Drosophila melanogaster: one gene and its partners. The protein of the gene in region 1 interacts with the protein of each later gene in a pairwise test. Each region holds a gene or a part of one and is shown in the gene's direction. Other genes may lie near its edges.

Region 1 (7,069 bases):
TTCCGATCACTTACCGGAACTCCTGTTGCGCAGGGCCATCCCCAGTTGACCAGTCCCACCAGGTAACCATTGCTGACCAGAGGTCCACCGGAATCTCCATGGCAGGCACCTTCTCCCAGCCGCGAAAAAGTGCAAATGTGACCCACATCACAATCTTCATCGTTGCTCAGCAGGGCTTTGCACTCGCGATGGGGAACGTACTGAAGGTATAGAACCTGCAAATCGATGGGACTGGTGCCCCAGAGGACCGTGGATCCCCAACCAGTGAGGATTACTTCATCACCCGGCTGCATGGGCACCAAGGGCAACGGGATCGGCTGAGTGCGCTCGTCCCAAGCAATTGGCTCAACTAATTCCAACAGGGCAATATCATTGTGCATCTCCGGATTATCGTAGTTACAATGGATATGAATGGCTTTTAGGAAATACCTGCCTCCTGGTTGGTTATACTTATTAGTGCCCGTGACGACAACCAGCCATGGAATAAAGGCATTTTCGACACAGTGAGCGGCTGTCAGGACGAAGGTCTCGTTTATTATGGCACCACCACAGGAGTGGGCACCGGAGATTCCCTGCAAGGATATCTGATAGGGAGCGAAGCCATCCTCAGCTGCCTGACCACCGATGATCCGTTGATCCTTGTAAAACCGACCATCCGTTGAGTTTCCCTTGATTCGTATGGCTGTTATGGATACGAGTCCCGAAAGACCCAACAAAATAAGTAAAACCACTGCCGACATCTTGTTACTGGCCCTGGTCAGCTAATGAAGTTTTCAGTCGTACTTGCTGCCTTCTTGACCATTTATCGGAATCAGATAAAAAATCAGTTTATGGCGCGATTGTTGGAACCTTTGGTCAGGCCATTTTGACTTTCGTATAGTTCAATCAAAATCGCGAAGGGTAAAACCAGACTAGCTCAGTCCGCGATTGCATTTCAGCCATGTCGCTTGCACGTTTCCTATTTTATATTCTCGTGTTCAGTTCACTCTACTGTGACTTATTGGCATTGGAGCACTTCATTGTGGGTGGCCAGAATGCAGCTGAAGGAGATGCCCCCTACCAGGTGTCGCTCCAAACTCTTTTGGGTAGTCACCTATGCGGTGGTGCCATCATATCGGACCGATGGATAATTACGGCTGGTCACTGTGTCAAAGGATACCCGACTAGCAGACTTCAAGTGGCCACTGGTACAATTCGCTATGCGGAACCAGGAGCTGTTTATTACCCAGACGCCATCTACCTGCACTGCAACTATGACAGTCCCAAGTACCAGAATGATATTGGCCTGCTCCACCTGAACGAGAGCATTACCTTTAACGCACTAACTCAGGCGGTTGAACTACCCACATCCCCTTTTCCAAGAGGAGCTTCGGAGCTGGTTTTCACCGGATGGGGATCTCAGTCAGCGGCGGGGTCGTTGCCATCGCAGTTGCAGCGTGTCCAGCAGCAACACCTCAACTCCCCGGCTTGCGAGTCCATGATGTCTGCCTACGAGGATCTGGAACTGGGACCTTGCCATATTTGTGCTTATCGTCAGGCAAATATTGGAGCCTGCCACGGAGATTCTGGAGGTCCTCTAGTTCACCAGGGCACCCTGGTGGGCATACTCAACTTCTTTGTACCCTGCGCCCAGGGTGTGCCTGATATATTCATGAATATAATGTACTACCGCGACTGGATGCGACAAACGATGAGTGGCAATGGCAAATGTGCACAGGTCAACCAGCAGACAATAGATGGATAAAAACATTTGAACTCATTAAAGAACCTCAATTCATAATGTAATTCCTTAATGCTGTAAATAATTTATTAATTTATTAAGCCATTTAAACATAAGATAATTCCCAAACTGCCAGCCTTGTATCAAATATCACCAAACATGCACCAAAACCGCATAAAACCCGCACCAAAGCCGCACACAAATCGCCACCAAGCCGCCAAGAAGCCGCTAACAAATCGCGTGCAAGTCGAACTGAAAACGAAGGGCAGGATGTATCCTCTACGGGTCACTCGTAAGGGATCATTCTGTACGGGGCATCCTCTATTTTTTTAATTACTTGGGTTGCTGTAGTTCACTTGTTTTTTGGCGGGAGTGGTGAATTATTTTAATGTTTCTGGAGGCAAGTGATATTCTTGGCCCACAGCCAGGAGTCCGTTCAGTCGGACAGCCGGAATGTCTTAGTGATTCAGCCACCCGCCGTTTTCTGATTTATTTCGGAAGAAGAGAAGTGTCGCACTGGTCACACGTGTCGTCCTGATCTAATTGGTAGCAGGTAGACCCAGACAGACGTGGTCTTAGTCATGATTTGAGTTGTGAGAAAAATTTCGACACAAATCGCTCACGGCGCATGGAAATTCTGAAAATATTTCTATCGGCACTCGCTGTTCAGATGGGGGAAAAACAACCGGGAAAACTCTCAGTTGTGGGCTGTATCTTGGCATTTTGAAAAAGATTTTCAGTTGCTGTATTGACTTGGACGTGTGCGGTGCGGGCCTCGAATTTTCTTGGAATACGCGGCGTATACGCAATCCGTGAGCTATATGTAGACGCGTGTCTTGCTCATATTTTTATATATACAGCAATATATAACAAGTGAAATTTCGCAACTTGTGCAAAGTCGAGGAAAAAATTATGTTAAATCCAGTGAAAATGCCAAAGTATGTGAAATAATTTTCCCAATTAAGGCAAAACGACTTTGCAATGTATTTTACATTCTTACCAAGAGCGATGAATATTGCGCTAAAAGTATACGGCCAAAAAAAAACCGTTCGAATAAATATATTACCAAAAATAAAATAGAATATTTTGTGTTATGTGAATTTCAGTTTGAAATATTGCGTACAAGGCGTTGCCATTTCGTGATATATTCAGACGATGAAAGGCCTCTTTGCTGGATCCCAAAGAAAGAGCCATTAAATGTTCAGTTGTGAGAGCGTAAAGTGCATTTATCTGTCGGGCACCAGATGTTAATAGAGCCTCTGATCTTTATTTAGCCTCAATCGCATGCTCTGCCGCACCTGGGGTATCTGCGGGGTATAGTACCTAAGGGGACCCGGCATATGTATTTCCCAAATGATTTATTTAACTAGGCGTACACGTTTAAGTGATTTTTTAATAGAAGACATAAACCTTTTGTGCACCCTTTAGCAGATTTGTGCAGGGTCCTTGGGTTTTTCCATCACATGGAGACCTGGAAGTTGACGAAGCAACAGGTGCAGATGTTGTAGTATCCTCCCAGTAGGGATACGATGTGGTAGAATCTCCGTACGGAACCCAAGATGATGAGTATGGGTCCCAATAATATCCGGATGACGTAGTTGAGTCAGAGCAATAGCAGCCTGCCAAGACGCAAAACAACGCAAAGATCGTTAAGAACCTCATTTTAGCCGGCATTAATACAAACTAATAAACGATAGATACAATTTTATCAATTATATACTTCTTATCTTATTTATTTTCAATTGTTTAAAGAAATAATACCTTAAAACAGTTGGGCAAATGCCAAATATTCAATAAAAAGCCTAATATTTAACTAATATTTATTTTTCATATTCTATTGCCAAATTAATCACCAGCTGTTGTATCTAAAAATTTTGAAATTTTCAGAAGACTTTGTATGATTCATTTGAAAGCCCACTGTGCCATTGTTTATTATATTCCAATTATTTTCTAAATATCCAAGTAACAGTGCCGAATCGGGAAAAGCTAAATAAAGCGTTGGCACGTGAAATTACTTGACGGCAACGGGGCGTATGCGCAACAAGAGATTTTAACAGCCCAAGCAGCTGTTGAATTAATTCAAACGCCATGAATAATGATGGTCAATAAAAATAAAATTTGTTTAAAAGTACACGCGCTGCGCGTTCACACGGAAATTAAATAGGTTTTGAGAAATGTTAGTACAGAGTTGTTATGAATGGTGTTTCATATCTAAGCATAATTAGATCTTAAAATTCTTACTGGTTTTTTGAAGTTCATAAAAATGGTGACTATAGTTTAGTTTTCTTAATTTTATTTTACGGATTGATTTTGGTAGATCACTTAAGACTTCCTAAAACCCCTTTTAAGCGCCATGATAGCACTGAAATCAGATAATCAGAATAAAATTGTTTGATATATTTAGCGTGCTCTTGCTGCGTTTTATCTTCAAACGAGCATAAACATTCAAGCCAAATAAAATCGAGGAATTTATGACAGCTGATTTGGCCGGAGCTAGTTAGTCATCTCACAAGAATAAACAACATACAACTGTACATATGCTTTTCATTTAAGAGTTCTACGGGTTCTACGATCCCCCGATTTGGGATTCTTTATCAGCGCCTCGTGAGTCAAATGACGGGGAAATGCGGAATGTACTTGGGGCGACCGCCAGAGATGGCCAAAAGCCAATCATTTTTGCAGGAGGCACTTTCAATTGTGACCAGCAGCAGAGAAGATTGAAGCAAAAACATAAAACACAAAAGACGGCAACCAGTTCTATGAAAAGAATAACAACAAAATCAGCTGCGCGTCGAAAATCACATTTGTGATGAGTTGCAGGGGGTGGGGGGGGATTGCGGGGCAAGCGGTGGGTGGGGACTGGGGGGTCTCATGTGGTAGCGTCGCCAAAAACCTGCCAAACAGAGTCAAGAGTGCAGTCGACGTCGACTGCGACTGCGACTGCGACGCCGAGTCAACGTCACACGCAATACCAAAAACACAACACAAAACATGAAGCGAGATAAATATTGAACAAATTATGTATTGAAGACCTTTGACAGACGAGGATGCACTTTTAGAAACTTGTGAGAAATGTATTCATTTATTTAATATGATCTGAAAAAAATAAAAATACAAACCACAATTTTATATTTTATACTATAACTATGATATACATAATAATATTGTATTCTAATTTCATTTCCAACTTGAAATAATAATAGAAAAAATCGAAGGCAAACCTTTGTTATCTGTCAACCAGTAGGAGTGTGTAGAAAGTATCTTTTGGAATTATAACCTATAAGCGTTACCTAATATTTGCTTAGGGAGTTACTTAAGATGATCCCCGTCTGTATGATTTATCTGAGAAAATAATAATAAAGAAATTGAGCAATAAGCGGCGAGCATTTGGCTGCATAAAAACTTTGAGCAAGGAGGCGCACACAACTCAGTCGAGTTGAGAAATTGTCGCGGCCAGTACGAGTACGTGTAGCAAAGAACCCGAAAGCAACGCGCGCATTTCGTGCACACATTTTCAAAACCAAAAGAAAGAAATTCTGAAATTTGTTTACGAAAAAAAACGAAGGATTTGCCAGTCGTGTTTGTGTTGTGTTTTTTTAGAGAGAAACGTGCTCGCCACGCCAGGAATTGTGTAATTAGCGGGCCATCAAGTGTTCAGTATTAAGCACCCCCACTAAAGTATTACAACTCGAGATCATTCGACAGCGATCCCTATCAACCAACAGAAAAACCATCGATATGGCGTCCAGAAAAGTGAGTTTTTTTTTTTGTTGTTTTGTGGGCCTAGGGTGGCCCTTATCCGATCGGCAAACGTTGCATTTCACCCACACGATTTTCCACGATATATTCACGACGAAAATGGAGGACATGTGGTTCTCATTACCTGTTCATAAAAACTAAATATTTGTCAATTTATTTTTAGTCCAATGGGCGGTCGAAATTTGCTCACTTGCGCCTTCGCTGTGCAAATGTTGGGTGTAATTTTAGTTTCAAATAAATTCAAATTAATTAAAATGGAAGTGCAAATTTATTTAGCATTTCATTGGCGGCGTTCGTCGACGCTGATTCATGCGATTCCCCAGCGATGCAAGTGGCGCCTCACGTATTCATCGTCACTTGGCCGCCGTTTTTGGCCCGATTTGAAATGTTTATTTCCATATAAGGGTATCCTCAGCCAGACGCACTTGTTCCATATGGCCAGCTGTCCCCGAGCAGCTCCACTTCCTTGTGGAATGTAGTGAAGGTTTCGAGTCCAAAATATACGATTGTTATACGCATTGAACCTTGTAGAAGTGCTATTTAGGTGTTTGAAGTTTTTGGGATTGTTCTATATTTTTATTTTACTCAAAAATATGAATATTTTGAAGCCATATTATTTATAAAAGAAATATAATTTCTTGGCGTCAGCTGATTCACATGGAGTTGCTGTAGTTGTTGCCGGTATTTCAGTTGTACTTGCAGAACCCCAATCAATGTTCTCCGTTGTTGTTGTTGTTGTTGCGGCAATTGCAACAGCTACCATGGTGCACAAAAGGAGGAGGATGGCAAAAAACTTCATGTTGCTAACTTTAAATCGAAACTGATATTTCACTCAACATATTTTGCCCTTATATACGAATAAGACTTCAGAACAATTGTTAACACAAGTGCTTGCAAGATTTGATGGATGAAATGGTGGATGGAGTGATGGATTAGGACAGTTGAGTAAATACTCTAATTTGCCTTTCCAAAAATAAATGTACACGTGGCAAATGTTTAGCACGTGTAAATATACAGTACACGTTTTAACCGGATTGGTTATGATTTTCTTAAACAAGTGCTTTATATTAATTATTTAAAGTATTTTAAATCGTAAGCTGAGTTTATGAGGAACATTAGCATTAGCTAGAGCTTTGTTATTTACCTAACAAATTAATCGTCAACTTATACTCGTTAATTGTAGAGTATAAGGGTATACTAGGTTTGTTTAAAAGTATCTAAAAGCTATAAGAAATCGTTTTCTAACTTATATAACTTATTCTAACAGATCTCGGAAACAATAATGCTAAAAAGTTAACAGTATTATTATTATTGCTATTATTATTATGCATAATTATTAATAATTATAATGATTCTATAGAAGTAGACGCAGCGCAAGTTGGTTTTAAAATGATGTCTCGCCCACTCTTACGTCATAAACTATCGAGAGCTGAGTAACGGGTATCAGATAGTCGAAGAAATCTACATTCCTCTTCTTTGTTTTATTTATAATTATAGTTATATTGCAAAATGTCATTGGTTAACGCTTGGTAAACCATAATTTTAAGGCTGAGTAAATCATTAAAAATGGCTAATTGATAGGTCTAAAAC
Region 2 (6,061 bases), on another chromosome or scaffold:
CGAATCTTTACAAAACAATCCATCTATTTAACTAGTGGCCTCTGACCAACACAACTCAGTATTAGCATAAACATTAAAAGGGACACATTACAAAATTCTAAAAATTATAACCATGGAATCTGAAGCTCAAGAACGTACTGCACCTGTATCTGCAAACAAAAGTGATTCATCAGCGGCACCTGTGCTCAATATATCCGGAAGGGTCAAGTCAGAATGGAATACACCCCGTATTAGGGGCAAAAAGAAGCCGCCGGCTGTCTTGGAAGCACCCAAAGTGAATCCGCACACATTTCCAGCGATATTAAGCAGGATTCTACTGAAGACCAATGCTCCGCCTGCAGCTCCACCGAAGTTTAATCCAGCCGACGGCACACAGTACCTTTGCTTCCTGTGCCTCGAGAAGCCGGAGAGTCGAAAGCGCGTCTATCACATGTTCATCACGACTGAAAAGGAGCTGGGAAGCGACTACGCGCACACCAGGAAGTTGTACGAGAATCGCAAGGAATTCATATACACCAATAATATATCCGTGGAAACAGTCTGTGCACGAGCACTGTACCGTCGGGTTCAAAAGAAGTTCACAGATGTACAGTGGAACAAGCTGGGCAACGTTTTCGAGACTGACATGGTCGGACGCAGTGATGTCTGGGGTATATCTAATCGAGTTTACGCTTTGCGTATCGAGGAGCACGAAAGACTATTTAATTACATTAAGTTTCTGAGCTCAACGAAGTGCTAACTAACTACATTCGATTTTAAGTGCCAGTACGAATTGTGATATCTTGTGTTTATTTTTTATATTAAATCTCTGCTTTGCGGATTGTTTGATTACAGTAACTTTCTGTAGCTTATCTTAAATTGTGTGAACCCGTAATGACTCAACAGCTGCTCCAAAATGTATCCGTTGGTGGCGAAGAATACGGCTCCTTGCAGTCCAATCCAGTAGAAGGTGTTCCATGTGTGGAACTCCAGCAAATAGGCCGGCAGCAACCACAGCGCCTGGGCAAGCAGCCAGAGGAACAGGAGACCGAAGCACCTTCTCCACGACAGCATCTTGAAGTTGTTCAAACAGAGCGGCAGAATGGCCAAGTACCAAATGAAGTACTGAGAGGTTACCACCGAGTTATAGGTGACGATGACAAAGGCCACGGCAAAGATGCAGAATGGCAGCGTCTGGCGGAACTGACCGAAGCTCAAGCTTAAGTAGAGGATGAGCAGGAACTGCGGAGCCAGCACTAGAGTCTTCAGGATCGCAGAAGGTTCCGCCACACTCGACGCACTGCCCAGGTACTGTAGAAGGAACTGCAGCGAGAAGTTGTGTCGCGGGTCCTTGCGTACGAAGTGGTACAGGTACGCTTCATATATATATTCCCAACCGTACATTGTGTAGAAGGTCCAAGTGAAGGCCACTAGGCTGATCAATGTTCCACTTATCAGGCACAGTTGTTGCTTGTTGGGCCGCAGGATTTGGCACAGGAAGTCGAGGGGAGTTTGTGTCAGCCGCGTTGATAGCGATAAATAGTATGCCAAACTGAATAGCAACGGATACAGACGGAGGTGTATCACTAGACCGTGAGCCAAGCCCGCTCCGAATATAAGCCAGTAACTCCTGGTGACATTGTGCTCAGATTTTAACAGCAGGTATATAGTTAGTATCACGAAGAAGCTTGAGAAGCAATCGCCGCTTCCACGTGTGGATATTACAGCCGTCAGCGGGTTGTATAACCAAAAGCAAGCAGAGGCGCGGGCCAAGTTCTCTGGATGACTTCGCTCATCCAGGGCATCCAGCGATTGGTCCGAGTCCCGTGGCCTGTTGAACTTGCTAAGCAGGTGTTGTACGGTCTTCTGGTACTGACTCTTGATTTCCATGTGCACCAGACGGTAAATAAGTGTGGCGATGAGAAGATCGAATGTCGCATACAGTAGTTTACCCCACGCCGGATGAAGCAGGATGTTAAAAGTCTGCAGATATGCCATGATTGGGCTATATCGGTAAGTATGCCTGGCGAAGGGTGTGTCCCCAGCCAGAACTTGACGGGCTCCATCAGTCACCACCTTGTAGTCTATATCGGTGTAGGGCACGGCGGACTGACTGTCGTGTAATTGTCCGTAGCAAATTAAAGCTATTCGCAGCAGGGCGGATATTAGTAGATGGGTCCGAAAGCTAGTGTAAAGGATGCGGCGACCCAGTCGCTGCCATCCAGTGGTCGCAGCCTTTGTTTGAGTCATCGTGTTTATTGTTTACGTTTGTCTAAAGCTTGGTCTTCATTTCCAAAGCGGTCTTGCGGATACAGCTTAGGAACTCCTTGAACTCGGTGTCGCAGATTTTGTGCTGCACGTTTAGATCACGCGACACGCAAACCGCATACGCAGTGGCTTTGTCCGCGCACTTGCTTAGCAGAACTGGATAGTTGCGGATTCTTTGGTTGGCTTTGCGCACCGATTCCATGCCTTAGCTTAGCGCTTGTGAGGCGGAACTTTGTTCTCCGGCGGTGGTAGGGGATCGGCGATAAAGCAGTCAAACAGGGGCTTGGAGAAGAAGATCAGAAGTGAGCCTGTGATGAAGGAGATCTGGAACAGGCGTGGATTTCGCTGAATCCACGTGCGTTTGGGTAGCACAGCGGTTCGCCTGCGCTGATTTGCTTGCTGTTGCTCCTTTTGGTCCAGCAAGTCTTGAATTTCCTTCGGAGGCCTATACTGCGGTATGGACATTATTTGTTCCTGCAAAACGAGTTGATAATAGTGTATATGGAATAGAGAAGTTGGCTACAACTCACGACTTGCCGGTTGCGTTCTTTTCCTTGGATGCGTCTGGTAGATAAGTCTTCTCCAAATCGATTCCACTGCAGCAAAGCGATTCCTTGTGCCACTTTAAACAGCACTGGCGCATTGCCTCAAGGACATCCAAGCACTTGTCCTCCTGGTAGTGATTCTCTGTAACCGAGTGCAAGTCAGCTTACATAACCATGAAAATGGAGTCACCGGCGGTGCTTACTGGTCAGACAGGCTTGTATGCGGCAGGCGTTCGGTTTGCAGGGATCCTTGCGAGTGTCAGACATGTAATCCTGCCCAGAATTCTTACGATATTAAATCGCTCTTGCAATATGTGAAAAGTACTTGGAAGTGTTCTGCACTCTTCTTCTTCTTGGCGGTTGTAGTCATTCACAGTGCACGATCAAGGTAGCCAGACTGCGCGACGGTCAGCTGTGTAGGAAACCTAATACATCAAAGCAAAATAAAAAACAATCACATAAATAACAACAAAAAGAAATAACATCTCTTATAATGTACAAAAATTTTTAATCTTTCAAATTTTGATATTAATACCTTTTGCTTCCCTGTGAATACCCCGCCTGCTGCGAGAGCAACTGCCATTCACCCATCGACGCCGACAGTTGGGCACCAAGGAACTGTTCTTGTGTGAAAAACACACACACATTTGTTTTATTTCACTAGGACTCTTGACGATTACTTCACAAATCGGAAAATGCCATCGAAAAAGAAAAAATACAACGCACGCTTTCCGGCGGTAAGTTGAAACCACCGATTGGCGACAGGAAAGCTCCAGCCATTTGGCGGCCGTGAACGCCGAAGATGGGTTATCAGTTTTCGTGCATGTGTACATACATATGTACATACACGCCTCGCATAATCAGAGGCTCAAAAGAAGTAGAGGAGAAACCAAACCGGTGCGAGATTATAATGTTTCCAAACCATTACCATAAACTCCTTGCAGGGTCGCATCAAGAAGATCATGCAAAGCGACGAGGAAATCGGGAAGGTGGCCCAGGCGGTGCCTGTTATCATCTCACGCACGCTGGAGCTCTTCGTGGAGTCGCTGCTGACCAAGACGCTGCGCATCACGAATGCGCGCAACGCCAAGACGCTATCGCCATCGCACATGAGGCAGTGTATCGTATCCGAGAAACGCTTTGACTTCCTCAAGGAGCTGGTCCGCAACATACCCGACATCAGTGTGGCCGAGGAGGCCGCCTACAACGAGGACGATGTGTTACGCAGCTCGCCAGAGGAACAGTATCCAGATTCAGACACGCCATATGATCTTAGCCTGCCATCGACGTCAATGCGCTCGCAGGCGAACGGCACAGCTGCCTACATGCGCTCCATGAGTCTGAACAACGGAGCCGGATCGGGCGGAGGAGCCGCAGCCACCAAGCGGCAGTTTCAGTCGCAGCACTCCACCCAGGAAACTCCCACCACCAGCACCACCCTGCCCGCCAAGCTGGCCCGCTCCGGGTCCATGCCGGCCTACACGCCACGGGGCAGACCGCCCAATCACCTCAAGAAACAGTCGGTGCAGCTCGATACTGCCATACCCGCCCCGATCTGCAACTACGAACTCAACAAGCCCATTGTCAAGATCGACTACAGCCACGTGCAAATGCCGACGGCGAACCTGTGCACACCGGACGCCTCTGATTCTGGGTCAGGATCGGGCGCCGGATCTGGAGCTTTTAACTTCGACATAGCTGCTCCGGTGATCAATATCGATCTGACGAATATCGTGGCCGGTGGAGCACCTGGCAGTGGTGTGCCCCCCGCCTCTATTGGATTACCAGCGGCCACGCCGGGGGACAACAATAATGTGAACCAAATGGCTGGAAAGAGCAGCGCTCCCATCATTCCAAAGGCCACAGCGGCATCAGCGACCCCCACTGAAACCGTTTTCGAATTAGACGAAGACTATGACAATATTTGATTAGGATCTATGTGAATGCGCTTTTAAATTATTGATACATTAATATGTACTCTAGGTCTAAGAAATCACAATAACATTTTTTGCAAAATAAAGACCATGCTGGATTTTAAGCTGACGCAATGCGGAGTACTTTAAATAGAGAAAGAAAATTTATACATTCTAGCAGATAATGCTGTTTAATTTGCATACGATATTAAATCAGTTTATCTTTGAATTAGATGTACTAAACAAGTTCAACAATTATTGAAAATGTTTGCATTCATAGACACCATAAAAAAGCCGCCTCTGGGCGGCCGAAAGTCATTTATGCCCATCCCAGAGGCCAAGTTAGTTGACGATGTCGTCAGCTACATCGCCAAGCCAGAGTTCTATTCGACTGTTCCAGCGGCATTGAAGATGCAACGCCTTTTCTATGTGCAATACAGCGAACTGGCTGCCAAGTTGGAGACTGACCTCACAGCAGTGTTAACCCGTTTGGAGGCTGCCAAAAATAATTTGGAATTGGTGAGGAGGTTCATAGACAATCCTGACAAGGAAGTTCACAGCCTCGTGCAAATCGCACAGGGAGTATTCAGATGGGTGAGCATACCGCCAGTGCAAAAGGTTACCCTTCAAGTGGGCGCATCTCTGCAAATGGAATTCGAGCTGTCCGAGGCGGAGGAGTTCATCAAAAAGGACATCACCAGCCTGGTGAAGCAGCAATTGCAACATGAGCACGATATCGACTATCTGCAGGATCAGGTGAACACGATTGAGATGAACCTAGCCGTATTGTATAAACATGAAGTGGAGAACTAGAAGCATCCCACCATCCTTAAAATTGCTAGTACCTTGTAGTTGCTTATAAAGACATTCGTTCTAAATAAGTCTTTATTGTCTAAATGCCTTAATTTCCAACGAAGTACAGCTCTCCCTTGGAGTTCCCCACTAATTCATTCATTACAATTACATTATTAGCAGCCCGGTAAAGAGGTCAGAGTATCGGGACCGTAGGATCCCAGACTGTGCCCTACAAAATGTGACCTTTATTACCGAGCTCGGCTATTTACAAGCCTATACACATCATAATAATTATGACTTAATTTCGCCAGGGAGCACCGCTTAGTCATTGTGTAATCCTCGGTCACAGCCAATTACAATTGAATGCCTTTCAATCCCATGCCCATGCCTTCGTCCAGCTGTTACTCCAGCCCTCCGCATATTCGCACACGCAATCTGCCAGCCACAATTGATATTAATTTGTGCCCGATGTGGGTCAACCCATGATGTAGACTCCATTCCCTTCCAAGGATACCAAATTATATGGCAAAAGGACAAAACTGACCAGCAGATGAGCCACAT
Region 3 (10,261 bases), 5.3 Mb from region 1:
AACAAAGTAAGTGTTGAACATACGTATATATCTATTTATTGTATTAATCTTTGGGAATTGTGATTTTTAGGGATTCCATCGCGCATGTGCATTGTATGCAAAAAGGTCAAGACCTATGCCGAGTTTGCCATTCGGACACGTCAGAGCCATGTGGACACCTGCAAGCACTGTTACTATCTAAAGGTGGGTTATTCCTTATTCCACATTTTAAATATTATAATCGAAAATATTTTCATACATACACATAGCTAACTGCTACTGAGAACACCGTGTACCAGTCCATTCTACGGTGCATCCATCGAGATGAGCGGAAACGCAAGTGCACCACATCCTTTGCATTTGTAATGCAGCCAGATGATGTTCGCCACATCATAGACAAAATATGGCATGGACATTCGGCTCTAAGCAAGACAGAGAATCTCAGTGAACTAAGGTAACCCCTTCACAATGAAGTGTTTAAAAATCAAACGTCAAATATATCTATTTCAGATTACCGCGTTGGAACAAGAGCGATGACTGGGCACCGTGGAACTGTATTTGCCTGACGGAACGGGAGACGCGAGATCACTACAAGATCGATGACATTGAGAAGGTGTATGATCCCAAGTTCGTTCTGCACATCGGTAATCTTCACATGCTGGCTCGCAGCCTATTCCACACCTTAGCTGCTGTGGCCACCGAGTTCCAGGAAACGGGCCAATGGTGGAAAGTGGGCATGAACAAGCAACGTTCCAGTAAACTGGATGCCGTCTAAACTATGTGGTTAAAATGACTCCCAGTAACTCACCTTTCGAAATTTGGGTTTAGCTTGTAATTCAGCGCCTAATTTAACATTTACAAAATTTTAACAATTCAAATATTGATCAATCATTACAAGAAAAATTAAATAAACTATAACTGCAATTATTTGCTACTTGCAATCGCCTTGAACTTTGACTCCAAATACTGAACGCGTTTCAGTAGTTTGTCACTGGTGCTGAACTCATTATAGGGCACGGGAATAACGTGGTAACCACTCTTCTCTAGCAGATCAAATGTCAGATTCGTAACGCCGCTGCCACTGCGATGCGTTCCGTGGCAAATGTCATGGAAATCGATGACCATCAGCGCCACCCTGAAATCAAGTTTCATTCATTATAATCAAGTTAATTTATAAAACGTGTAATAACTTGCCTTATTGCATTCGGATTTTCCTTGTCCAAAGGCAGGGGGTTTTTGTTAGCATCAAAATGGCACAGTGCATCTGAAACGACAGTTAATCAGGAATATGGTACACATTAACAAGGAATATCTTACCTATAAGGAAGCCCATTTTAGTGTCTACAGCAGTTTGTAAATGATTGCTGGCCGGCAGCAGACTTTTCAGGGCATCTAGCATTCCATTTACAAGCACTTGCTTTGCTTTAGGATGAGCCATGGGCACCTGATAGACAGGACTGTCAGTGGGCAATAGTGGACCCTTGTAATCTGTGGCTATTAACTGGGCATAGCTATTCAAGTTGAGTAGCCTCATTTTGGAGGTAGCTGTGACACCAGCTTTGTCCTTTTTCAACGTCTCTAGGAAGTCCGCACTGAAAGTAATTACAAATTTAAGTTTTAATTCCAGATTTTCAAGCGTTTCAAAGAACAAACCTCAAAACAGAAGCCAAGTGGCCGTGTTCTACTAGACCCAACATTGTTAGCGACCACACAAAGCTCAACCACTCGGATTGCTTGGTAAAATCCTCGCGGACAATAGACTTTACTAGCTTTTTGCTCACTTCCTCCAATTGAGCGCTTTTGAAGTTTAGCAGGGCCGATGTTAGGAAATAGGCACTGAGATCTTGGGGGCGACAGATTTCACTATTCTTTAAAAGCCACTGCGTAAGTGATTCCAAGATATCTACCGAAAAAAATAAATTACATTAATCACAACTTTTTCTGATGTGTTTATATCCGAGCTAACCCAAATCCCGGTATCGTAAAATGCCCAGGCTGGTGATAATGGATCCCACAACGGCAGACTTCTCCACATTCTTAGGCAGCGCCGATTGCACATCCGCACACACTTTAGCGCCTAGAACAGAATCCTGGAAATTCAACGTGGACATAGCGAACAGCACATCCCCCGCTTGCTTTAAATCCAGCGATTCCGACGCGCTGCTGATATTAAAGGCCAGGGAGCGCAAGAGAGGAGTACTACGCCTCTTCCGCTGGGCCAGGGTGCTCATCACCTTGACCATCTGGGGCAGACTGATGCTAGCTATCAGCTTAGCGGCCTCATCGTCACCAGCTACGCCAAGCACCGTGTTTAGGTCATCTGTTCGGAAGCCGGAAATCCGCTTGGCCGTCCCATTGTCACCAAGGTCCTTGTTGTTAGCATTATTATTTTTGGGAACCGTCCGGCCCAACATCCGGCAAATACGTAGGAACCTTGTGTCGTTCTCGAATTCCGAGATCTTTACTCGATTCAAGGTGCTCCACTCGGCCAGTATGGAGACAATTCTGAGGGCATGCTTCCTCGAGAAGCCATTGTTGTTCTCCGTGATAGTTAGCAGTCCATTGACTGTCTTTGCGTTGATGATACGCTCATCGATCTTGCTGGAGGCTTGGCTTTTGCTCTCATCTTTGGGATCGTCGTTTCTAAGGGATTCGAAAGCAGCGGCTACCATGTGGCCTGCAATAAGGATGGAGTGAATACCAATTAGTAAGGAGGACAACAATTTTAGAATCTACCTACCCCTGGGCTTTTTGGCCGCCTCCTCCACAGCCGGCGCGCGTGCTTCCGGCTCCACTGCATCCGATTGTGCTCCAGTGGGCGCCACGGGAATGCCCGCTGCCCGGACACTGCTGCTGAAGGCTGCACGGCGGTACAACTGGGTGACAAAACTGCCGGCAAAACGTTGTAGTCCCAACATTTTCAGTCAATCCACACGCTGCAAGAGACCACAGAAGTTTACATAACCTTTTTGTTTACATTTTTAGCGGCCAGGAAGGGGCTTTACAAAGCATGCCAATGATATAGGCTTATATTCATGACTTGAACCGTCTTATTTCCCCTGATATCCTTCACGTTTCATTTAGTATTTTCATTTATTTTAGTAAACTTTCCTATTGAACGTTGAGAATCCACAGATGACAGCAGCGTTCAGCTGATGGTAGTGTAGGGTAAGACCCGTCGGCTCCATGCAAAGCTTTTGTAACACTGCGAGCTGTGCTGCCAACTCAGCATTTTCTAGCTAGATCTGGCGTTTTTTATTCCGGAACTTAGGTGTCATTGCATGTGCTTTCGGTTATTTGGTAAATGCTTCCAATTTTATTACTATGCCGATTTCTCTTTGTGCTTTATTAATAAGAAAACTAATGTTTTATTGAACTATTTCGGTTATTGGTAAATGGTTCCCATTTTATAACTATGCCGATTTCTCTTTGTGCTTTATTAATAAGAAAACTAATATTTTATTGAACTATTTGGAGCACAAATTTAAAAAGCTAATTTTCATTAATAACGGCTACAGCTATTTATCGGATTTAGCTACACTTGAACAGTGAGAGTTGGAAACACTGTTTGCAACACTGGACACGACAGCTCACCAAATATTAGCTGCTGTGATTTTGTTTTACAATTTTCGTTTAAATTTTTACATTTTTGTTTGCGGAAAGCGCGGGTGCGAGACAGGTGCGCCGTTTCCATGCAAAAGTGCAAATCGTCAGCTGCAAAACAGTCAGAAAACGGCACGCCAAGCGAAAACGAGTTCGACGTCTTGTTGTAGTTGGATTTTCCAGCCACTTTTCGACGAGATTGTGTGAAAAATTCCGTAGCATTCAATAGTCTCAAAATGGTGGATAAATTCATCAGCATGTGGAAAGTGCGCGAATTGGCGGACAAGGTGTAAGTGATCAGGAATATATAGGATATATCCATACGTATATGTAATGGGATGTGTGTATAACATTCCCTTAACGCCGAAGTGAATGTTAAGACTCCCACGCCCCAAGTTTTCTGATTTCCCGCCACGCCCCCAACTCCTCAAGGATTTCAAAAGCCCTATGTCATGCATAAATCCCTAATAATTCATAAAGATATCTTACTTATGGATCAACTGCATCGGGGTGCTGGATTAGGTTCACGTTTTTAACTGCTTTCAAGGTTGTTCGCCATTTCAAGAGAGCTTTACCAACACAGCCACATTCCGATATTGATATCCATGTGTATATGCGCCTGTGTGTGTGGGGCTTTATCAAGAAACAATTTGTTTGCTTTCGACTGCCCAAATATAACAATTTTTTCACCTGTGTTAACAGCTCCACTTCCAGGCTTTCCAGTGAAATGGGTGTTTCTCTTTCCCCCATCGAATTATTAATTATGGGTGTCCCCTTTCACCTGCGCCTTTTATGGGGTAGTTATTTCTAAAAGCGAGCCTATAGTTCGAATAAATAATGGTGGCTCGATAGCCAACACCGAACTCATTAGGTTAAGTGCGCGGGTACACCTTTCCTAGGGCTTATCTCGAACTGATAAGGAACACCTAGATGGCCCATTTGCGACAATTGGCCCACTTCCATCACGTTTCGAACGTCTATCAACGTCGCAGCCAAGCCATGCGTATTACTTATTTATCTGCATCTTTGCATTGTATATCCATATCGTCACACAACGTTTACTTAAAAATACCAGTTCTGATTAACTGGCCCTCTATCTATTTGATTATCTATTCAATTGAGTTTACGGAATGTCCCAGTCAATATGCCTTTTTTCTTTACTTAAGTATATATCAATTATTTAAGGAAACAAGCTCGGATTAAGATTTGTATTTACATATGTACAAAAGTTCTACGACTAACATCGTGAATAGTTAATAGTTACTTTAAAATAAAACAATGACTTCGTTCCCACTTGCAGCACCAATGTCGTGATGAATTACACGGAAACGGAGGGCAAGGTGCGGGAGGCCACCAACGATGATCCTTGGGGGCCTACAGGACCCCTCATGCAGGAATTGGCCTATTCCACCTTCTCATACGAAACATTCCCGGAGGTGATGTCCATGCTGTGGAAGCGCATGCTGCAGGACAATAAAACCAACTGGCGACGCACGTACAAGGTAACGTTTTCAGTTTAAACTAATAAATATAGAGCTAACGAGTATATATTTACTTACAGAGCCTCCTTCTGCTAAACTATTTGGTGCGAAACGGCTCTGAACGGGTGGTAACCTCCTCTCGGGAGCACATCTACGATCTGCGCTCGCTGGAGAACTATACATTCACCGACGAGGGCGGCAAGGATCAGGGTATTAATGTTAGGCATAAGGTACGAGAGCTTATAGACTTTATTCAGGATGATGATCGTTTGCGCGAGGAGCGCAAAAAGGCGAAGAAGAACAAGGACAAGTACATCGGCATGAGCAGCGACGCCATGGGCATGCGAAGCGGTGGCTACAGCGGCTATAGCGGTGGATCTGGAGGAGGCGGCGGTGGCAGCGGTGGCTACAATGATGGCGACTATCGCTCTAGTCGTGGAGACAATTGGTGTAAGTAAGAAATTTTTATTTTTTTAAGATTTTTGTTCAAATTCTCTATATGTAATATTAATATTGATGATTTTTCTTCAGACTCCGACAAAAGCGCCGACAAGGATCGGTATGAGGATGATGATACTCACTACGATGGAGAGCGAGAGGGATCCGATAGCGACTCACCCAGTCCAAGGCAAGTTTTCACTTTTCCGATTAACCTGCTCTATATCCTAATGTACTCTTTTCTCCTCACAGACGTAACTATCGATACAATGACCGTGCGAGTCCTGCCGAAGTAGCCAGCGAGGCCAAACCTTCCAGCCTCAACATGAACATTCGTTCGAAGACCGTCAGTTCCCCTGTCTCCAAGCAGCCCACTTCAACGGCTTCTGCCAAGCCAGCGCTGTCCCAGAAGAAGATCGATCTGGGTGCGGCAGCAAACTTTGGAAAGCCAGCTCCTGGCGGTGCTGCTGGCATTCACTCACCAACTCACCGTGACACTCCCACCAGCGTGGACTTGATGGGCGGCGCTTCGCCATCGCCGTCTACTTCCAAGGCAAACAATAATACGCAAAGCAATAACAACGATCTGCTGGACGATCTGTTCAAGACCTGCTCGCCACCGCCGGGGCAGGAGAAGACGCTGAACAGTGCTGCCGTGATTGTGGATGACGATGATGACTTCAATCCGCGTGCCAGCGATGCTAGCCAGCAGGAATTCGGCGACTTCGCCTCTGCTTTCGGGCAGCCCTCGGCGGGATCGACGATCAGCGAGCCACCATCAACGGGCCTGGTTCCGGCTGCGAACGATGAGTTCGCCGACTTTGCGGCGTTCCAAGGCTCGACAACGTCGACATCTGCGCTGGACGGTAATTTGCTGAAGACTGCCACGCCGGCGAACGATTCGTTTGACCTGTTTAATTCAGCTCCCACCTCGACGGCAGCAGCCACAACGGCTACAGATCTCCTGGCAGGCCTGGGCGATCTGTCCATTCACCAAAGCATGCCCATGGGTGAGTTGTAGTTTGATTCTTGTAGCTTAACATATTATTAAATTTGAAATAGTTTTAAGATTAGAGTAATTGCATTGGCCTTAGTCACTTCATGATATATTTAGGTATCGCTGCATGAAGGTGCGCCTTCCGAGCTTGACTAGAGCCGTTATCTCTACCTCGAGCTCCACAGCCCACACAAAGATACACTATCTCATCCTCCCACATATAAACGGCAACATTTTCCAATCGGATGCACTCGTTCTCTTCTCGTTCTCTCTCGTAGCTGTTGAAGAGCAGTTGGCATCCAGTAATGATTCGATGTCGTCGGCTTCCCCACAGCCACCATCTGAGGCAATGCGTCTAGCTTTTTCCAAGGCACAGAAGCAGCTGCGCGATTTAATGCAGGTCCAGAGCGCTTCAGCCGTTGCCCAAGTAGCAGCTATTTTGGGGGAACTGCATAACTCAAACGCACTGCCCGGATTTACCACACCTGAGCAGTTGGTTGGCCTCGATCGTCAGACGTGCGACTGGACCTGTCTTGCCCATGGAGAGTATGCCGCATTGCTGAATCAATTGACAGAGCTATTCAGCCAGGATTGGCCAGAGCCATCGCAGGATGTTGAAGTCGTTAACATTTTTAAACTGGATCACAGCTTTGATTATGTATCGGTTGCCTTTGAGTCGCTTCAGACTAGATTGGATAAGTTTCCCAGTACTATTAGTTCCTTACTGGAAAACATGGTTAAGGATGAGAGCCTAATTTCTATCGCCTTGCTGCACATCTCCCGCCAGAGAGCTTCCTTAATGCAGCGCTTTGCGCGGACCATCAAAGTTATGCCGGAAAGAAAAGTGGAGGAGCTGGATGCCCAGGTGAAAGCGTTCTTTCAATTGCTAATCAGTCTGCCAGCCCAGGTGGCCAATCGACTGGGTAGAAGACTGCCAGAGACGTTTGCTCCAGTTTCTTATCAGAAACTCCTGCTGCGCCAGTGGCTGAAATCCTTGCACTTTGTCCTACAGTGCGATGATAATAGGGAATACTTTGATTTGGAACCGTACTCCTGGCTTTTGTCACAGGCTATTAACCTTATTTACGATGTTTCAACTTTGGAAAGCCTCCTACGAGTACTTAAGGACTACGCGGTGGCTCCCAGAGGAAGAAAAGTAGTTCATACCATATTAAAAGAATTGGATCCCGCTGCTTGCCTAAAAACAGCACAATCGGCTCTTTCTGCGGGATTGAACCTGTACGTTCTTATAGGTGCTGCCACTTTGGAGACACCTCATTGGAAGCATTGCCTGCTCCAGAAGTTGCCTCTTCAACGCACACCCGTGGATAATAAGCAGCTTATAACATTGGCCAGTTATCTTAACGCCGTAGCTCCTGCTCAACTGCAGGTTCTTTTGAATCAGTTGCTTGGAATCTGGTCGAAGCGCATTTCCTTGCAGAAACTGGGCAGCCAAGAGCACTTGGCTATATCCAAATTGCTTGTGTTGGCGGCAAAATGCCTTTGTGGGAATCTTGTAATGGATTTGAACATCCAGCGTCAGCTCCACGATGGACTCAGCAACCATTTGCAGTCCCCAGATGCACTGCAGCGTCATGTGGGAATGAAGACCGTGGAGCTAATTTTCAATTTTATTGCCTTGCCTGATGCGAAGGAGGATGATCGTCTACGATTTGAGTACGATTCATTTAAGGATACATTTCATTGGCACATCTTCGAAGAGTTTGATGAACTTGGCCAGTTTGAAAGCCCGAGCAAAACTAAGCTAGATGAGAAGCCTTGTGAGGATCAGCTGAAACAATTAGAACTTCATCTCAGTGACTTTATGAGTACTACAGAGCAGAAAGAGCCGCATAAGCCGAATATTGAAATACAAGCGAATCCCGCTCCCGAAAATCAGAATGTAAACATGCAGCTGGACTCGGATGACGACGAGCCACTGGATGAAGACGACGATGAATTGAAACCCTATGACATGTCCAACGATACAACCACCACCATTGATCAACGTCCCAAATTCGTCATCGACTTACTGCACTTGCTCCGAGAAAAGGTGGAGAATTATCAGGTGTTCGAAGGAGCCTTGGGCACAGCGGAGCAACTTATACGGGGTCAGCTGGCCAAACATGATACTCAGTTGGCCTTGGATCTGCTACAACTTTTCTTGGTCATGGAAATGCAGTTCTACTATGAGCAATTCGAACGTACGCAATTTAAGTGTTGCGTGGCCATTTGTGTGGCTCATCCTGGTCCCTGTGCCGAGTACCTATGCCGCCAGTTCCACACGGATAACTCCTTCTATTCGGCCAGTGTCCGTATTCTGATCCTTCAGGTACTGGCAGCAACGGCGAAAGAACTTTCTGGCGATGAAAACATGCAGAATGAGATGGAAATTGTGGATGTTATACCACCGGCAGCCAAGCATCCCCGAAAGTTCGAATTTCAACAGGAGGAGGAGAGTCCGGCCGCTCGTCTGGCCGCTGCGCAAAGGATCATCCGCGACCGGCTGCGGGCCAAGACGAAGAGATATTTCAGCAAGCCCAAAGCTGGAGATCAAATGGAGAAGGCCAACCCATTTCACCCCGTTGCCGGTACATTTTTCTTCAGTTTGGTGAGGGGACAGCGCACCCGTCAGATGCTTTACGTAAAATACGAAAATATTTCTCACGACATCGACACCCAGTTGCTTGTTAACCTGCTAAACACCATGTCCGTGTTGGTTATGTGCTCCCAGAACTGTCCACTGTTGCCAGCGATGACCCGCGAGATCTTTGACCTATGCGCCTTTGTGCGTTTCAATGCCGAGGCCCGCGTCCGAGCGGCCACATTGCAGCTAATAGGAATCGCCTTGGTAACCACACCAGCTCATGTGCTGGCCCAGCACTTTGCGGAGTCATTGAACGAACTGCAGCGCTGGCTGAATGACTTCATAAGATCGCCATTGGTGGGCGGAGAGACTTCGGAGGAGTGTCGTGAACTGGCCCAAAGCATTTTGGACACCTGCTACAAACTCTTTGATACAGCCGCCATGGAACAGGCTGCCTAACTTGGCCATCAAAAAGTTTTGAAAGCAGCCTATAGAGTTTTAAGAGATTTAAAATATTAAAACTGTATTTAAAATACACTAAGCATATTTCTTGTTACGGAAAAACGAACAATTTTTTACTGAAATATTTCCGAATTAATATATGATATATATGATTAAATACAAGATTACTTCATACTTTACATCAATTCTCATACAAACGTTAACGCTGTGTCCTTAAACATTTTCTTATAATTGTATAAACTAATAATAGACTCGAGAGTTAGGTATTTGCTAGAAATAAGACAACAGTTCTAGGAATTATTTTTTAAATATCTATCGCCCTCGAAGCCATTGTATTCCAGGTATACATATATGGATTTACTTCATTTATACTACTTTCTTTTGTTTATTTGTTTTTCTCCTACTGCATATTTGTATTGCAAACCACACACACATTGGATCCAATATTATTTCTCAAATATATACATACATATGTACTTAATAATGATGAATTGAAAAGCATTTCTCAATATTCCGGGCATTGTGCGGCCTCCGCAGCCACGGACTCATTAGGTAAACCAATCCAAAACGGCAATAGCCACATAACAGATACGAACCTATTCTTTCCTTCTGTAATTGCACTTGATTTGCTGCGCAAACGCTTCCGAGTAGTGACCACCTCATTAGCCGATCACCAAGTAGCCGCATTCGCAATTCTATCGAAGCCACATATTT

What was found.
Region 2: the proteins of cher (region 1) and NC2alpha interact in a two-hybrid assay, tested with the Drosophila melanogaster proteins (one large-scale study listed by BioGRID).
Region 3: the proteins of cher (region 1) and lqfR interact in a two-hybrid assay, tested with the Drosophila melanogaster proteins (one large-scale study listed by BioGRID).

Annotation. Positions count from the first base shown.
Region 1 is NT_033777.3:17,120,802-17,127,870, reverse strand, and holds the start of cher (cheerio), read left to right. Parts: upstream 1-2,481; 5' UTR 2,482-2,632; coding exon 2,633-2,658; intron 2,659-3,084; exon of another isoform or gene 3,085-3,112; coding exon of another isoform or gene 3,113-3,382; exon of another isoform or gene 3,383-3,394; intron 3,395-5,188; exon of another isoform or gene 5,189-5,458; coding exon of another isoform or gene 5,459-5,473; intron 5,474-5,783; exon of another isoform or gene 5,784-6,092; coding exon of another isoform or gene 6,093-6,278; exon of another isoform or gene 6,279-6,294; intron 6,295-7,062; exon of another isoform or gene 7,063-7,069. Other genes in the region: CG31269 (uncharacterized protein), read right to left, coding at 15-740; CG17477 (uncharacterized protein), read left to right, coding at 941-1,744; CG45079 (uncharacterized protein), read right to left, coding at 3,113-3,382; CG42779 (uncharacterized protein), read right to left, coding at 6,093-6,278. UniProt on the Drosophila melanogaster protein: Involved in the germline ring canal formation. May tether actin microfilament within the ovarian ring canal to the cell membrane. Contributes to actin microfilaments organization.
Region 2 is NT_033778.4:21,666,760-21,672,820, forward strand, and holds NC2alpha (negative cofactor 2alpha), read left to right. Parts: upstream 1-3,392; 5' UTR 3,393-3,487; coding exon 3,488-3,529; intron 3,530-3,736; coding exon 3,737-4,720; 3' UTR 4,721-4,834; downstream 4,835-6,061. Other genes in the region: CG42365 (uncharacterized protein), read left to right, coding at 113-739; PIG-M (phosphatidylinositol glycan anchor biosynthesis class M), read right to left, coding at 829-2,229; CG42380 (uncharacterized protein), read right to left, coding at 2,252-2,449; CG42379 (uncharacterized protein), read right to left, coding at 2,458-2,712; CG42381 (uncharacterized protein), read right to left, coding at 2,712-2,721, 2,778-2,934, 2,996-3,059; CG15676 (uncharacterized protein), read left to right, coding at 4,970-5,518.
Region 3 is NT_033777.3:22,407,767-22,418,027, forward strand, and holds lqfR (liquid facets-Related), read left to right. Parts: upstream 1-3,534; 5' UTR 3,535-3,818; coding exon 3,819-3,871; intron 3,872-4,882; coding exon 4,883-5,084; intron 5,085-5,143; coding exon 5,144-5,513; intron 5,514-5,594; coding exon 5,595-5,691; intron 5,692-5,753; coding exon 5,754-6,511; intron 6,512-6,776; coding exon 6,777-9,544; 3' UTR 9,545-10,036; downstream 10,037-10,261. Other genes in the region: CG13855 (uncharacterized protein), read left to right, coding at 1-6, 71-183, 249-433, 490-754; CG13850 (uncharacterized protein), read right to left, coding at 904-1,114, 1,174-1,243, 1,297-1,571, 1,633-1,882, 1,946-2,656, 2,720-2,897.